Linked DNA regions of Macaca fascicularis. The protein of the gene in region 2 interacts with the protein of the main gene of each other region in a pairwise test. Links are inferred from orthologs where the notes say so. Each region holds a gene or a part of one and is shown on either strand. Other genes may lie near its edges.

The links.
Region 1: the proteins of CREB3 (region 2) and TECR interact in a two-hybrid assay, tested with the Homo sapiens proteins (2 studies listed by BioGRID and IntAct). The two-hybrid records come from large-scale screens. The link is inferred for Macaca fascicularis from reciprocal best matches to the Homo sapiens genes CREB3 and TECR.
Region 3: the proteins of CREB3 (region 2) and BCL2L1 interact in a two-hybrid assay, tested with the Homo sapiens proteins (2 studies listed by BioGRID and IntAct). The two-hybrid records come from large-scale screens. The link is inferred for Macaca fascicularis from reciprocal best matches to the Homo sapiens genes CREB3 and BCL2L1.
Region 4: the proteins of CREB3 (region 2) and USE1 interact in a two-hybrid assay, tested with the Homo sapiens proteins (3 studies listed by BioGRID and IntAct). The link is inferred for Macaca fascicularis from reciprocal best matches to the Homo sapiens genes CREB3 and USE1.

The regions. Positions count from the first base shown.
Region 1 is NC_088393.1:14,967,239-14,971,486, reverse strand, and holds the start of TECR (very-long-chain enoyl-CoA reductase), read right to left. Parts: upstream 2,801-4,248; 5' UTR 2,702-2,800; coding exon 2,687-2,701; intron 1-2,686. UniProt on the Homo sapiens protein: Involved in both the production of very long-chain fatty acids for sphingolipid synthesis and the degradation of the sphingosine moiety in sphingolipids through the sphingosine 1-phosphate metabolic pathway.
Region 2 is NC_088389.1:63,665,254-63,669,480, reverse strand, and holds the start of CREB3 (cyclic AMP-responsive element-binding protein 3), read left to right. Parts: upstream 1-1,427; 5' UTR 1,428-1,627; coding exon 1,628-1,756; intron 1,757-1,849; coding exon 1,850-2,000; intron 2,001-2,071; coding exon 2,072-2,139; intron 2,140-2,253; coding exon 2,254-2,343; intron 2,344-3,977; coding exon 3,978-4,084; intron 4,085-4,174; coding exon 4,175-4,227. UniProt on the Homo sapiens protein: Endoplasmic reticulum (ER)-bound sequence-specific transcription factor that directly binds DNA and activates transcription. Plays a role in the unfolded protein response (UPR), promoting cell survival versus ER stress-induced apoptotic cell death.
Region 3 is NC_088384.1:87,809,798-87,814,034, reverse strand, and holds the start of BCL2L1 (bcl-2-like protein 1), read left to right. Parts: upstream 1-1,437; 5' UTR 1,438-1,553; exon of another isoform or gene 1,554-1,666; intron 1,667-2,537; exon of another isoform or gene 2,538-2,788; intron 2,789-3,055; exon of another isoform or gene 3,056-3,073; 5' UTR 3,074-3,185; coding exon 3,186-3,749; intron 3,750-4,237. UniProt on the Homo sapiens protein: Potent inhibitor of cell death. Inhibits activation of caspases. Appears to regulate cell death by blocking the voltage-dependent anion channel (VDAC) by binding to it and preventing the release of the caspase activator, CYC1, from the mitochondrial membrane.
Region 4 is NC_088393.1:17,532,201-17,536,182, forward strand, and holds the start of USE1 (vesicle transport protein USE1), read left to right. Parts: upstream 1-1,182; 5' UTR 1,183-1,199; coding exon 1,200-1,301; intron 1,302-1,593; coding exon 1,594-1,643; intron 1,644-1,781; coding exon 1,782-1,860; intron 1,861-1,957; coding exon 1,958-2,110; intron 2,111-3,243; coding exon 3,244-3,253; intron 3,254-3,982.

The DNA.
Region 1 (4,248 bases), on a different chromosome or scaffold from region 2:
TCTCCATGTTGGCCAGGCTGGTCTCGAACTCCTGACCTCAAGTGATCCAGCCACCTCAGCCTACCAAAGTGCTCAATTACAGGCATGAGCCACCATGCCCGGCCAAAGCTCCCCCTTCTTTCTGGGAGAGAAAAGGATTAAGTATGGTAGAGCATATTCTCCAGTCCAAGTCTTGGGCCTCAGGCTGTGCCCAGCTTCCTGAAACAAAAGCGCTCACCCCCAGGGTGCTCAGAGGCCTACTTTATCTGACTGTTAACTAGCAAAACTAAACCAGCTACATTTTGCAAAATGCCATATGGATGTTCCAAACTGCATGTTTCAAGCTGGACGTGGTAGCTTTTTTTTTTTTTTTTCTTGAAACAGGGTCTCTGTTGCCAAGGCTGGAGTGCAGTGGCCTGATTTCTGGGCTCACTGCAGCCTCAACCTCTTGGGCTCAAGCCATCCTCCTGCCTCAGCCTCCCGAGTAGCTGAGACTACAGTAGTGGGACTACAGGTTTAGACACAGAGTTTGAGAGGGGAATCCATATCAGAACTTTATTCTAGAATGAAAACGTAAATGACATATTAGAGATTATTGAATACAAACCTCCTCATTGTTGATACCATGTCAAAAATTACAGGATTTCTGAGTTAAAGGCTTCTAAGGGGCCAGGCACAGGGGCTCACGCCTGTAATCCCAGGACTTTGAGAGGCCAAGGTGGGTGGATCACCTGAGGTCGGGGGTTCGAGACCAGCCTGACCAACATGGAGAAACCCCGTCTCTACTAAAAATACAAAATTAGCCAGGCTTGGTGGCTCATGCTTGTAATTCCGGCTACTCAGGAGGCTGAGGCAGGAGAATCACTTGAACCTGGGAGGTGAAGGTTACTTGAACCTGGAAGGTGGAGGTTGCAGTGAGCCGAGATCACGCCACTGCACTCCAGCCTGCACAACAAGAGTGAAACTCTGTCTAAAAACAAAAAACAAAAAACAAAGGCTTCAAAGGATTGTGGGTAAATTTCCAGAAATAACAACAATAAAGAGGGCAGGGAGTAGAGGTAGTAATATTCAACTTGTGAATAAAAACAGCCAAGCGTGCTACCTCACACCTGTAATCCCACTACTTTGGGAGGCCGAGGCGGGCGAATCACTTGAGGTCAGGAGTTTGAGGCCAGCCTGGCCAACATGGTGAAACCCCCGTCTCTACTAAAAATACAAAAAATTAGCCGGGCATGGTGGCAGGCACCTGTAATCCTAGCTATTCGGGAGGCCGAGGCAGGAGAATCACTTAAACCCAGAAGGCGGAGGTTGCAGTGGGCCAAGATCGCGCCATTGCACTCCAGCCCGGGCAATAAGACCGAAACTCTGTCTCCAGAAAGAAAAAAAAAAAAAAAAATTCCTTCTACGTATCCAGGGTACCTAGAGTAGTCAATTCATTGAGACGGAAAGCAGAAGGGTGGTTGCCAGAGGCGGAGGTGAAGAGGAATGGGGAATTAGAATTTAATGGCTACACCTTCTGTTTTGCAAGATGCAAAGAGTTCTGGAGATGGGTGGTGGGGATGGTTGTACAACAACGTGAATGTTCTTAATGCCACTGAACTGTACACTTAAACATAGTTAAGATGGTAACTTTTATGTGTATTTTGCCAGAATTTTTTAAAGTGGAGGGGAAGTGAGAAACAAGAAATCGCTCGACCTGCTGTTTTTCGTTTGAGGACCAGCATGGCATAGTGGCTAGGAACTAAGACCTTGGCGTCCTGAGTTCTCCTATCTGTTTTGCATTTACTAGCAAGGGGCCTCTGAACAAGTCACTTGATATCTCTGAGACTTTATTCATCCTTACAAACAGGAGTAATAATAGTTCTTATACAAGGTAACAGAATCTCACCAGCACAACAGTAAGCACTTGCTAAATTGTTCTTACTTTGAATTCTGGTAACAAATTTTATTATTTGATGATAGTTACTTAAAAGTCAGCAATAATTCAGGGACAATTGGTTGAATTATTAATATCATATTATCATCTAGGGCGATAAGCACATCAAACGGCTTCGTTTTAGGGGAAAAAGTGACCCAAGTTAGGAGTCAGAAGACATGGGCTTCAAGAGTGGCTGTGCGTGGTAGATTTCTGCTTGATGACACCCAAGGGTTGACGGAGATGACCTTAGATAACCAGAAAGCAAGATCGGCTTCGCTGCTCTGCGAAAGCCAGCAGTGGAGCTGCACCTCCCTCACCGCCTAAGTCTCCCGGGAACGTCCCGGGCGAGGGAAGGGGTCCAAAGGTCGTACATAAAGACTGATTGCAAAGCCCCTTCCTACGCTGGTGGCGGCAGCGTGGCGCAAGATTTGTGCAAGACTCCCTCGGATTGGGAGCAAGGGTCCCGCACCTTCGTGGCTTCCATGACAAAGTCTGCAACTCAGCCCGCCGGGGGAGCTACAAGGAACCTGCAAGCGTCCCAGCCCCTGCAGAGACCCCCCAAAAAAAGCACCCCCAAAACAGCCTGGGTTGCAGATTTATAAATACCTCCTCCGCACATGCGCATTGGAATTTACGAGTGGCCGGGGGCGCAACGCTTGCCCACTGCGCCTGCGCCGTCCGACTCTTCCTTCGGGGCACAGGACCAGAAAGTGGGGTCCCGTGGTCCCGCAAAGAAGGAAAAAGAATGGGTCAGCAGTGGCCACACGGTCCCTGTTTCTCGCTTCTTACCTCGTAGTGCTTCATGGCTCCCTCCCACGGCGGCTACTGCTCCGCGGCTGCTGCTGCCGAACTGCGCGGCACAGGACAGGATACCCAGAGCGCTCGCGACCGCTGCGCTAGACTAAACGCGGCTGTGCGTCCGCCCCGCCCCTCCCGGCCGCGCGCGCCCCGTCGGCCAATCAGGGCACGAGGCGCCCACCTTCGCCCCTTCTCCTTGGGGACGGTCCGAACCAAGACTAGGGCTAGCACCAGGGATTGACCAATCAGCTTGCGAGAGCCACCGAAGGGGGCGTAGCGCCTGTAGGAGGGGCTAAAGAGAAGGGGCTTGACCATCCGCCAATCCAAAGGAGGCCTCTGCGCCGCGCGTCCCTTTGCCACGCCCCCTGATGGCGTCGCTGTGGAAACCAAGGTAAGCGACCGTTAGGCCAGACGGGGGGGCGGGGCAAGAAGTTGAGTGACAGGCAAGGCAGCATCCACATGACAGGCGGCGCCGACGGGGTAAATTCTGAGGTGGGAGGCTCCCGGGGTACAGCGGGAACAGCAGGAGAGGGCTAGGGACTGGGGTCGCGGGCTGCGGAGTCTGGATGGCGATGCCACTACGGGAGGAGACTCTTGAGTGGAAGGGAAGGAAGGGGGAAATGGGGTGGCGAAAAGCTCCCCATTTGGGAACCCCCAACCTGCAACCTTGAGCCCCAGCCCCATTCTGGGGGTGGCTTCACTGCCGTTTTTAATGAAAGCCCCCGCCCCACTTTGTTTTTTTGTTTTGTTTTGTTTTTGAAACACTTTCATTCTGTCCCCCAAGCTGGAGGGCAGTGGCACAATGACGGCTGACCGCAACCTCTGCCTCCTAGGTTCAAGCGATTGTCATGCCTCAGCCTCCCGAGTAGCTGAGATTACAGGCGCCCGCCACCACGCCCGGCTAATTTTTGTATTTTTTTAGTAGAGAGGGGTTTCACCATGTTGGCCATGCTGGTCTTGAACTCCTGACCTCAGGTGATCCTCCCGCCTCAGCCTCCCAAAGTGCTGGGATTACAGGGGTGAGCCACCGCGGCCGGCTCCCTCCTCACTTTGCTCCGTCCTATGGACAGGGGAACTACATTTGTCTCTGCTTGACTTGGTCCAGAATGCTGTCTAGTGGCTCCACGGGGCCACTGAGCCCTTGAAATGGGGCTGGTCTAGGCCAGGCACGGTGGCTCACGCCTGTAATCCCAGCACCTTGGGAGGACAAGGGGGGCATATCACCAGGTGAGGAGTTGGAGACCAGCATGACCAATATGGTGAAACCCCGTCTCTACTGAAAATACAAAAATTGGCCGGGCGCGGTGTCTCAAGCCTGTAATCCCAGCACTTTGGGAGGCCGAGGAGGGCGGACCACAAAGTCAGGGGATCAAGACCATCCTGGCTAACACGGTGAAACCCCGTCTCTACTATAAATACAAAAAATTAGCCGGGTGTGGTGGCGGGCGCCTGTAGTCCCAGCTACTTGGGAGGCTGAGGAAGGAGAATGGCGTGAACCCAGGAGGCGGAGTTTGCAGTGAGCTGAGATCCGGCCACTGCACTCCAGCCTGGGC
Region 2 (4,227 bases):
GTAACTACACAGGAATAAAGGACTTCCCTACAAAAGAAGGGCATTTACCTACTGCCAACCTCTTAAATTTCATCTGCTCAAGGCCAACTATGCTAGCCTCAATTACAACCCCTAAAGTTGCCCCAAATTCCTAACATTAACCCCACCTCTAATTTGTTTCCTGATTCCCACTACCGGCTTGGACATTCATCCCTTTCCCAGCAGAGACTCATATCCAATCCCTGATCCCTGATACTGATCTAAGTTTTACCTTTAGCACCAAATCGCCTGATGTTAACCCTAAATGTTGACCCCTAAGCCTAAAGTTCATTTGTAACTTGATTCCTAACTCACACTTTCACTGTTTATCCTTAATACCGACCATGTCAACATTCTTTAATCCCTCAAACAGGCTCTAACCTGATTCCTGTTGTTGACCCTTAACCCGACCCTGAACTCAAATTATGACGTATGATGGCCATCCCAGCAAACAAAATAATGACCTTAATCTAAACCTTACCTACCTAAAACGGACCTGACTCACACTACTAACTCTTAAGTTTTAACCCCAGCTTTTAACTCCTATAGCGACCCTTGATTCCTAAACGGACCCCACCTAATCCCCAACTCACCCAAAGCTTTCCTACCCACATGGCCGCTATCAGCTAACACCAAAGCCCGTCCCCGTCCTGCGCCCCGCTGCCACCCGACTCCTCACGCTCCCCAAAGCCTATCCCAGGCAGAGGACTGCCCCCAGGAGAGGCCTGTCTCCCCTAAGACGGCCTACTTCACGATGAGCCCAAGTTGAGATGCGCTGGACGCTGACCTCTCCAACTAACAGAACCCGAACCGGACACGCAGGAGAGGCAGGGCCCCGCCCGCCCCCGGGGCCAGGCTCCGCGGCCCCACCCTAAGGCCCCCGCCCGGCCCGGTCTGGCCTACCTGCGCTGCCCGGCTCTGCGCCCCGCCTGCCGGCCCGCCGGCCCGCTGCCCTGCCGCTTCTCGGGTCGCCCTCGGGCTCCGGCCTCGCCCTCCCTTCGACACTCTCTCGGCCACTTCCGTCCTGGGAACGTCCCCCACCCGCGGGCGGCGCCCTGGGGCAGCGCTCTATGGTCGCGGGGGGCAGGCAGGAAGCTGCTCTGGCCGCGTTCTCGATGCTCGGGGGCCGCCAAAGGCCGGCAGCCCCTCCCTGGCAGGAAGCGAGGGTGCGGCGCAATCCGGAGAGAACGCCAAGACGACGCCCGAGTTCCCTTTCAGGCCAGAACTCTTCCTTTTTCTAGCTTGGGGGAGAAGGCGGAGCCGGAGCCCTGGAACCCCCGCCCTCGGGGTGCGAGGCGGCAGCAGGGCCGTCCCCTACATTTGCATAGCCCCTGGGACGTGGCGCGGCACCCAGGCCTCTTCTCAGTTGGAGGGAACTCCAAGTCCCACAGTGCCACGGGGTGGGGTGCGTCACTTTCGCTGCGTTGGAGGCTGAGGAGAATTGAGCCTGGGAGGCGGGTCCGGAGAGGGCTACGGAAAGCCCCCGGCCGGGAAGCCCGGCCGTAGAGGGACAGTGGATAGGTGCCCGAGGCCTACAGCTGGCCTGGGGCTCGTGTCTGGGCTTCGGACGTTGGGGCCCGGTAGCCCACCCTTTCCGTAGTTGTCCCAAATGGAGCTGGAATTGGACGCTGGTGACCAAGACCTACTGGGCTTCCTGCTAGAGGAAAGTGGAGATTTGAGGACGGCGCCCGATGAGTCCGTGAGGGCCCCACTGGACTGGGAGCTGCCGCTTTCTGAGGTGCGTTGGGGTTCTGACTGGGGAAAGCGTGGGATGTCCATGAGGTCAGGGGATGGTGATAGGTCAAGGCCTGTTCACTGGAACCCTGCGCAGGTACCGAGCGACTGGGAGGTAGATGATTTGCTGAGCTCCCTGCTGAGTCCCCCAGCGTCGTCGTTGAACGTTCTCAGCAACTCCAACCCCTGCCTTGTCCACCATGACCACACCTACTCCCTCCCACGAGAACCTGTCTCTATGGATCTAGGTGAGTCTGAAATAAGTTTGCGGGGAGGACAGGGTTCATGGGCCTGGCTATTCATACGTTCCCTTTTGCAGAGAGTGAGAGCTGTAGAAAAGAGGGGACCCAGATGACTCCACAGCATATGGAGGAGCTGGCAGAGCAGGTACTTGACTTGATTTTCAGGAAGATTACTCTCACATTCCTCAGGTGGGGGCAGGATTCCCCATTCCTCTGTGACATCCCCATGCAACTGCCGCCCACTTTCTGGTTACCCTAGGATATTGTTAGGCTGGTACTGACAGATGAGGAGAAGAGTCTATTGGAGAAGGAGGGGCTTATTCTGCCTGAGACACTTCCTCTCACTAAGGTAAGACTCTCGTTAGTTGAGCAAAGGCTGAAAAGGGATTAAAAGTCTCAAGTAGGCCAATTCTGTTAACTTTATATCAATAACTTTAAAAAAGGATTGAGGTGAGAAACTTAGCAGATTTATTGCTAATAGGAAGTTGAGGCAGGTACCCAATATGCTAGATGCAAGGCAGATCCTCATTTTCGTTGGGCTTACACAAATTTTGGTGTTCTGTTAAAAAACAAACAAAAAAAAACCCTCAAAATTATCAGTGCAACATTAGTATTGGGCCTTGGAAAGGACTGTGTAAGTGAAGGGCCTTGACACTTCATTGGCTTCATAGTAATCCACCTCTTGCTGAATGGTAGAACTGTTTAGAGAGTTCAACACGATTGGACTAAGCAGTACATGAATAAATGCAAAATCCTTAGTTTCCAGTTTTAAGCAATCAGTGGCAACTTCACAAGCAGAGTACTGGGATACTATGATGAAATCAGTGCTCATTAATAGAAAGGTTCCAGGAATTTTTTTTTTTTTTTTTGACAAGGTCTTGTTCTGTTGCACAGGCTGGAGTGCAGTGATGTGATCATGGCACACTGCAGCCTTGAATTTCTGGGCTTAGGTGATTCTCCCACCTCAGCCTCCTGAGTAGCTGAGACTACAGGTGCACACCACCCTGCCCGGCAAATTTTTTTTTTGGTGTTTTTAGTAGAGATGGGGTTTTGCCTTGTTGCCAGGCTGGTCTTGAACGCCTGTGCTCAAGTGATCTACCCACCTTGGCCTCCAAAAGTAAAGAATTTTAATTCCTTCAAAGTACAAGATGAGTCAGCAGTGCGATGTGGCTACTAGGAAAGTTAATGGGATTTGGAAACTGTAGCAAGAGTTATTGTCTCCACAAGTCACTATCTTGCTTTCCTTTATACTGGCTAGAGCACATCTTTGACAGATACTAAGAAGATGCAGTCTATCCTAAGAAGATGAGTTAAAATTTTTGTCTAAGCTGTTTTTTTCTTGAACTTTTTTTCTCTGAGGAAATGTCAAATGCCTGAAAATAGCTTAACAGGGTTCATTCTATTTGGCCCCAGAGATACTAGGTAAGTCCAACGTATAGAAATTATAAGGAGACAGCTGTTGGTTCAGGATAAGGAAGTTTTTGTTTGAAGACAGATTCTTGCTTTACTGCCCAGGTTGGAGAATAGTGGTGAGATCATGGCTCACTACAGCTTTGACCTCTCAGGCTCAAGCGATTGTCCTTCCTCAGCCTCCTGAGGAGCAGGGACCACAGGCATGTGCCACCACACCCGGCTAATTTATTTTTAGTAGAGACAAGGTCTCACTGTGTTGCTCAGGCTGGTCTCAAACTCCTGGGCTCAAGCGGTCCTCCTGCCTTAGCTCCCCAAAGTGTTGGGATTACAGGCATGAGCCATGTCACTTGAATATTGCCTGACCAATTTTTTTTTTTAATAGTTTAAAATGGTCTGGCTTGTTAGGGTTAACACGTGCTCCGTGGAGGCATTCAGAAAGAATGTGAATGCCTATTGGTCAGGGAAGCTGTAGAAGGGATTTCTGTATTGGAAAGAGATGGATCTCAGTTGCCTTTCAACTTCTTGTTCTAGAGTCCCTCTAATGATACCCCTTTCCCTGTTTCCTTTCAGATGGAGGAACAAATTCTGAAACGTGTGCGGAGGAAGATTCGAAATAAAAGATCTGCTCAAGAGAGCCGCAGGAAAAAGAAGGTGTATGTTGGGGGTTTAGAGAGCAGGTATGAAAGGGAGAGGGACTCAGTTTTAAGTGTTAGGTTTTTGAAGGGAGGACACAGGCCATATCCCCATATCTTTGTTATTTCCCCCAGGGTCTTGAAATACACAGCCCAGAATATGGAGCTTCAGAACAAAGTACAGCTTC
Region 3 (4,237 bases), on a different chromosome or scaffold from region 2:
TTTGGGAGGCTGACACAGACGGATCACTTGAGCCCAGGGGTTTGAGACCAACCTGGGCAACATGGGGAAACTCCATTCTCTACAGAAAATACAAAAATTAGCTGGGCGTGGAAGTGCGAGCCTGTATTCACAACTACTGGGGAGGCTGAGGTGGGAGGATCACCTGGGATGGGGAGGTCAAGGCTGCTGTGAGCTGAGATCACACCATTGCACTGCACACTGAGTGACAGACAGACCCTGTCTCAAAAAAAAAAAAAAAAAAAAAAAAAGGCCAGGCACGGTGGCTCAGGCCTATAATCCCAGCACTTTGGGAGGCTGAGGCAGGCAGATCGCCTGAGGTCAGCAGTTGGAGACCAGCCTGGCCAAAATGGTGAAACCCTGTCTCTACTAAAAATACAAAAATTAGCTGGGCGTGGTGGTGTGCACCTGTAGTCCCAGATACTAGGGAGGCTGAGGCAGGACAATCACTTGAACCTGGGGGGCAGAGTTTACAGTCAGCCAAGATAGCACCACTGCACTCCAGCCTGGGCAACAGAGCAAGACTCTGTCTCAAACAAACCACAACAACAACAACAAATGAGGAAAAAGTTCAACAGAAAGACCACCTGGAAAGGGGGTAAACAATATGAAGAGAATTCACCAATACAAGATCCACCCTCCAAAGAAAGACTAAAAAAATGACAAATTGCTCAACTTCATTCATAATAAAAAAAAGAAATATGAAAGTGCCTTCGGTTTTTACCCATCTAATTGGCAAAGATAAAACATTTGATAACACACTGTGTGGTTCAGGATGTAAGGAAATTGGCCGGGCGCGGTGGCTCACGCCTGTGATTCTCCTGTAAACGATACTCCTGCCTCAGCCTCCCGAGTAGCTGGGATTACAAGCATGCGCCACTAGGCCCAGCTAATTTTTTGTATTTTTAGTAGAGACGGGGTTTCACCATGTTGGGCAGGCTGGTTTTGAATTCCTGACCTCAGGTAATCCGCCCGCCTCGGCCTCCCAAAGTGCTGGGATTACAGGCGTGAGTCACCACGCCCGGCCTGTCCTATGGACTTTACAATTAATAACTTTTTAAATCATCACAATAGCTCAACGAGAGAGGTTGGTACTATTACCCATTTTACAATTGAGGACATTGAAGCGCAGAGCAGTTGAGAAACTTGCCTAACTGGCAGAGTTAGAATCCAGACAAAGTGCTTAACCACAAGGCGATGCTTCTTCTATATATAAACTGACGGACGGATGAAATAGGCTGATTGACTGATGACTGACTGACTGACTGAATTAATGAATACATGGAAATGTGATTATAAATGTTGATTTTTTGCGCCTTCCGATTCCCCGGATCTACCGCGAGGGGGCGATCTCTCCCCGGTCCTGATGCCAGTCACTCAAGGCGCGCACTCCCTTTGCGTCTCGGGCTCGCGCGCGTTGCCGCAGCACCGGAAGTGACTGAGCTTGCAAGTTCCCCCGTCTCTTCAGGGGAAACTGAGGCCGGCTTGTTCGGGAGAGACGGCGCGAGCAGTCAGCCAGGTAGGCCGGCAGCCAGGTAGGCCGGCCCGGGTCCGCGGCGCGGAACTCGGCCGCGAAGAGCTCTCGCGTCTGGAAGCTACCGGGCCGATGAAGGGGGATGTGGCCCCCCACGGCTCGCGGGGCTCACAGGTGAGAGCGCCGCCTCCCCTGTGCCTGACAGCCGCTGCGCCCAATAGGAGCCTTCGCCGTCCCGCTTCCGTGCCGGCTAGGCTCGCTGATTGGCGGCGCTGGGGAGGACCGCCGGGGGCGAGGCCCCTCCTCCTAGAAAGGTCTAGGGGGCGCCCCCGGGGGAGGGCGGTTGCTTAGCAACGGGGCGGTGGCTCGGCGGGTACCGGGCCTAGTGAGCGCGAGAAGCCGCGAGGCCGCAACCGGCCCACCCTGGGCTCCGGAGAGGTGCAGCCCCCGGCCCCGGAGCCCTCCCGGGGGCGCCAGGAAGCCACTTTGGGCCTGTCCCCAGGAAAACGTGGTCTCAGCTGTGGGGCCGTCGAGCAGGCCTCGACCCCTCTTCCTGACCTGAGGAGAGGCCCAGCGCCTCACCCTCACCCAGTCTTTGTGCAGGGCGCCGGCGGCCATTGTGTCCGGGCGGGGAATGGAGGACCCGGCAATTCCCCACCGCCACGTTCAGGGCCTTTGGGGAATTCAAAGAAAACCAGCGGCATTTGTGGGGGGTCTCCGGCCTTCAACCTCCCAGACAGGCCTGGGGGTGGCCTTCCCAAAGTCAGATCGCAGATCCGAGGCAGTTTCCCCCTCCCTGCGTCCCTCACCGAAACCTTGAACCCCATTGAGAAGTCCCTTCAGGGTTTCGGACGCCTCCACCTCACCCTGGGCTGGTACTTAAATAGAAAAAAGAAAGGAAAAAAAAAAACCAACTAAATCCATACCAGCCACCTCCGGGAGAGTTCTCCTGGCTCCCAGTAGGAGGCGGAGAGCCAAGGGGCGTGCAAGAGCGAGGGGGCTGGGCTCCCGGGTGGCAGGAGGCCGCGGCTGCGGAGCGGCCGCCCTCGATCCGGGCGATGGAGGAGGAAGCAAGCGAGGGGGCTGGTTCCTGAGCTTCGCAATTCCTGTGTCGCCTTCTGGGCTCCCAGCCTGCCAGGTCGCATGATCCCTCCGGCCGGAGCTGGGTTTTTTGCCAGCCGCCGCGAGGCCGGCTGAGTTACCGGCATCCCCGCAGCCACCTCCTCTCCCGACCTGTGATACAAAAGATCTTCCGGGGGCTGCACCTGCCTGCCTTTGCCTAAGGCGGATTTGAATGTAGGTGGTGCGGGGGAGAGGGAGTGAGGGGGGGACTGCCCAAGGGGTGACTTTCCGAGGAAGGCATTTCGGAGAAGAGGGGGGTAGAAAAGGCTGGTGGGAGATTCAGAGTCCACTGGTGCTTTCGATTTGACTTAATTGAAGTATCTTGGAACCTAGATCCAGACCTTCGTAAGACCCACAAAGAAACCAGTTCTGGTACCTGGAGGGGGAATGGGATGTTTAGGGTAAGTGGCATGCATATTAATTTTTTTTTTTTTCCTAAAGCTCTTTCTCTCCCTTCAGAATCTTATCTTGGCTTTGGATCTTAGAAGAGAATCACTAACCAGAGACCAGACTCAGTGAGTGAGCAGGTGTTTTGGACAATGGACTGGTTGAGCCCATCCCTATTATAAAAATGTCTCAGAGCAACCGGGAGCTGGTGGTTGACTTTCTCTCCTACAAGCTTTCCCAGAAAGGATACAGCTGGAGTCAATTTAGTGATGTGGAAGAGAACAGGACTGAGGCCCCAGAAGGGACTGAATCGGAGATGGAGACCCCCAGTGCCATCAATGGCAACCCATCCTGGCACCTGGTGGACAGCCCCGCGGTGAATGGAGCCACTGGCCACAGCAGCAGTTTGGATGCCCGGGAGGTGATCCCCATGGCAGCAGTAAAGCAAGCGCTGAGGGAGGCAGGCGACGAGTTTGAACTGCGGTACCGGCGGGCGTTCAGTGACCTGACATCCCAGCTCCACATCACCCCAGGGACAGCATATCAGAGCTTTGAACAGGTAGTGAATGAACTCTTCCGGGATGGGGTAAACTGGGGTCGCATTGTGGCCTTTTTCTCCTTCGGCGGGGCACTGTGCGTGGAAAGCGTAGACAAGGAGATGCAGGTATTGGTGAGTCGGATCGCAGCTTGGATGGCCACTTACCTGAATGACCACCTAGAGCCTTGGATCCAGGAGAACGGCGGCTGGGTAAGAACCAAGCCCCTTGTGTGTCCCTTTTCTTTGGCCTCTGGTCAGAGATCCCCAACTGCCCTTCTTCTGTATCTCTCTGTTAGGTTGGGTGATTGTTGGAGACATTGATAGTTGAGGAAACCTGATCTCATTTCACGACAAGAGGTTAACTCCCTGGAAATATAAATGACCCGGTGCTTCAGAGATCAGGCATCTTTTACCCTGGTCACCCCCATGACTCCACTATTCCATACTTGTGTTCCAGTTTCTTAGCAAAGAAAACTATAGCCTATGTGTTCATTAAGTCCCAAACCTGTGAGGGTAGGAAGTTAGTTTGGTGTTTCCCTTACCGTATACAATGGTTCACACACAAAAGGGTGATGAGTATCAGTGACCCACAGACCTCTCCATCTGTTCCCCCTAGGGGTCTCAGTCCTATCCTGGGCTTCTCTTCTCCAAATCAAGTTCCCTTGGCCGGGCGCGGTGGCTCAAGCTTGTAATCCCAG
Region 4 (3,982 bases), on a different chromosome or scaffold from region 2:
AAGCGATTTGCCTGCCTCAGCTTCCCAAGTAGCTGGGATCACAGGCACCCACCATCACACCCAGCTAATTTTTGTATTTTTAGTAGAGACGGGGTTTCACCATGTTGGCCAGGCTGGTCTCAAACTCCTGACCTCAGTTGATCACCTGCCTCAGCCTCCCTAAGTGCTGGGATTACAGGCGTGAGCCACTGCGCCCATCCGTCTATGATATTTTTCAAGGACATCAGGCCCACTGGTGTGACCAAGATACAGGTGATCTAAGGTATGGGAAAACATGAGGGCTGCATGCCAGGCCCTGGTCCCTGTGAAGCCCCCACCCTCATCCTCTCACTCCAGAAGCGTGGCACTGCAGGCATAGGGGTACTCAGCTTCCAGGTAATGAGGTGGGCTGGGAAGGGGTTCTCTCCACGGGGGTCTGGGCGTTAGGGGGGACCCAGCCCCACCTTGCTCACTCTGAGGCAGAGCTGCCCCATATCACCCTTGAGGCAGGTACTGTCACACTGTACATTTCCCGGGGTAAGAAACGGATCAAGAAAAGTTAAACTCGCCCAGGGCCGGGGATGGAATCAGAGCTGGAGCTGTGACCTGGAAGCTCATAACCACAATACGGATGAGCCCCGCTGAGGTGGGGGAAGCCTTGGATTCCTGAATTCCAGGCTAGAGCCCCTCCTACAAGAGAAATCGGGAAGGGCGCGCGGAGGTGAAACAGCTCCGACTGGGAAGAATCCAGGTAGTAGTGGGGTGGGGGGAGGTACTTCGAGCAAGCAAAACAGAACAAGAGGGCACAGTGCAGGGGGGTCTGACACCCGAAGATCCCGGTCGTCCTATCATTCCCGAAGGGTTAACACGCTCTCGAAGAAAAGGAAGTGATTCGCCTGAGTAAGAAAGAATGGGGTGGCGCCTCTCCTATTTTTTTAAAATAGAGGTAGGGTCGCGCTATATTGCCCGGGCTGGCCTCGAACTCCTGGCTTCAAGCAATCCTTTCCCAACTCCGCCTCCTAAAATGCTGGCATTACAGCCCTGAGGCAGCGCGCCCGGCCCAGCGCCCCGCCTCAAAACAAGGTATTACTTCTGCTCCAAACAAAGATGGGCCAGCGAACTGGAGCAGGCGAAACATCCGCCCGGAAGGCCACTTGAAGGCACTTCCGCCCTCTCTTAACATGGCGCCGGCGGAAGGGGCGGGGTAGGACCGGGCGATAATGGCGGCGTCGAGGCTGGAGCTGAACCTGGTGCGGCTACTATCCCGCTGCGAGGCGATGGCAGCGGAGAAACGGGACCCGGACGAGTGGCGCCTGGAGAAGGTGAGGGGATCTCGCACTGCCGCGTAGAGTCCGACTCCCGGGGGGTGGTTCCTAGGGTTGGAAGCCACCTAGCCGGACTCCCCTGCCCCAGTAGCCTCTCGGGCAGCGCCCTTTCCGGTCAGTCCCGCCACGTCTACCTGTAGCTTCCGCCCCCGTCCCTGGGACTCCGCCCCTCCCCCACTGGCCCCGCCTCCTTTGCGCTTGACCCCTCCCATTTGTCGGCCCCGCCCCCCACTCCCATGAGCAGGACGTGGGAACGACCCCCGGGTGACAATCCACTTTTCCTCCCCAGTACGTGGGAGCCCTGGAGGACATGTTGCAGGCCCTGAAGGTCCACGCGAGGTGAGTGCAGGCAGCCTTACTGCTTTCACATCAGCACGTGGCTATTCTGGGACATCCCAGTACCGCTGTCCCAGCTGGGACCCTTCCCTGAGCTGGGGACCATGGACAGGTTTTCTTTTTCTTCTTCCTACCTCCCAGCAAACCGGCCTCTGAGGTGATCAATGAATATTCCTGGAAGGTGGATTTTCTGAAGGGGATGCTGCAAGCCGAGAAGCTGGTGAGAAGGGGTGCCCCTCCCCCTCAGCCCCCATCACTGCTCACTTTCGTCCCCAGGACCTGCCCCTCCAGTGACTTCTCTTCCCACATTTTTGCAGACCTCCTCCTCAGAGAAAGCACTGGCCAACCAGTTCCTGGCCCCTGGCCGTGTGCCAACCACAGCCAGAGAGCGAGTGCCCGCCACAAAGACGGTGCATCTGCAGTCACGGGCGCGGTACACCAGCGAGATGCGGAGTGAGCTACTAGGCACGGTAGGGCTCCTTTCCTGGTCCCTGGGAACCCCTTGGACAGGGACGGGGGTTCTATGCCTGCAGGCAGCCGGAACCACAATACTGTCAGATACAGGGGCTCTGAGGGGGTCCAGCAATCGCTTCCCTGGGTCATCACACAAGGCCGCCCAACAGAGGGGCACTGTGGCTAAGGCTTTGCTAGATGAATAGCAAATTTGGTACAAGGCAGAAATGGAACGTGTCAGGTTAAGCCCCAGAGTTGGCCCAAGAGCAGGGTTTGAGTCCTGGCTTGCAACTTACAAGACACGAAAGTTTCTTCAGCTGTAAAAGAAGATGACAAGTTCCTTTCTGAGCACTTTATGTGGATCAGCTCAATCTTTTAAAATATGAGTTGTTGGCCGGGCGCGGTGGCTCAAGCCTGTAATCCCAGCACTTTGGAGGCCAAGGCGGGCAGATCATTTGAGGTCGCGAGTTAGAGACCAGCCTGACCAACATGGAGAAACCCCGTCTTTACTAAAAATACAAAATTAGCTGGGCGTGGTGGCACATGCCTGTAATCCCAGCTACTCAAGAGTCTGAGACAGGAGAATCGCTTGAACCTGGGAGGCAGAGGTAGCGGTGAGCCAAGATTGAGCCATTGCACTCCAGCCTGGGCAATAAGAGCAAAACTCCATCTCAAAAAATATATATATATGAGTGGTTGTTACCAGTTTATAGTTGAGGAAACAGGCTCAGAGGTCATGGGATTTCCCTATGTCCTGACTGAAGGTGAAAAGGTTGAGATCAGAAGGGACAGGTTTGGGAACAAGACAAGGGGGGTGACTTCATGGCATTTACTTTTTTTTTTTTTTTTTTGAGATGGAGATTCACTCTTGTTGCCGAGGCTGGAGTGCAGTGGGGCGATCTCGGCTCACTGCAACCTCCGCCTCCTGGGTTCAAGAGATTCTTCTGCCTCAGCCTCCTGAGCCATGGAATCACAGGCACCCCTACCACAACTGGCTAATTTTTTGTATTTTTAGTAGAGATGGGGTTTCATTACGTTGGCCAGGCTGGTCTCGAACTCCTGACCTCAGGTGACCTGCCCACCTCGGCCTCCCAAAGTGCTGGGAGTGAGCCACCGCACCCAGTCTCATGCCACTTACTTCTTTCCACAGGACTCTGCAGGTGAGTCACCATGAACACAACAGGACTTGAGGGCCAGCTGCCTAGGACAAGACATACATCCTTGCTGCCCTGGGGCCTCCATGCCCAGCCTGACTCCAACAGCAACATAACCAAATTACACGTGGAGGAAGAGCCAGGACAGAGGAAATGACCCCGAGAGGAAACAGAGCTAGGCACTCCTGCCGGGCACAGTGGCTCACACCTGTAATCCCGGCAATTTGGGAGGCTGAGGCAGGTGGATCACTTGAGGTCAGGAGTTTGAGACCAGCCTGGCCAACATGACCAAACCTTGTCTCTACTAAAAATACAGAACTTAGCCGGATGCAGTGCCGCCTGTCTGTAGTCCCAGCTCCTCAGGAGGCTGAGGCAGGAGAATTGCTTGAACCCAGGAGGTGGAGGTTGCAATGAGCTGAGATCACACCACTGCACTCCAGCCAGGGTGACACAGCAAGACTCCCTCTCAAAAAAAAAAAAAGGAAAAAAATTAGCCAGGCGTGGTGACGCACACCTATAGTCCCAGCTATTTGGGGGGCTGAGGCAGGAGGATTGCTTGAGGCTGGGAGGGGGAGGTTGCAGTGAGCTGAGATCGCGCCAGTGCACTCCAGCGTGGTTGACAGAGAAAGACTCTATCTCAAAAATAAGCAAATAGATAAATTTGTTAAAGCTAGGCACGCCCAGCCTATGGGACCAAGGCTAGGCTGGAGGGAGGGATCTGGGGTCTGAGGGAAA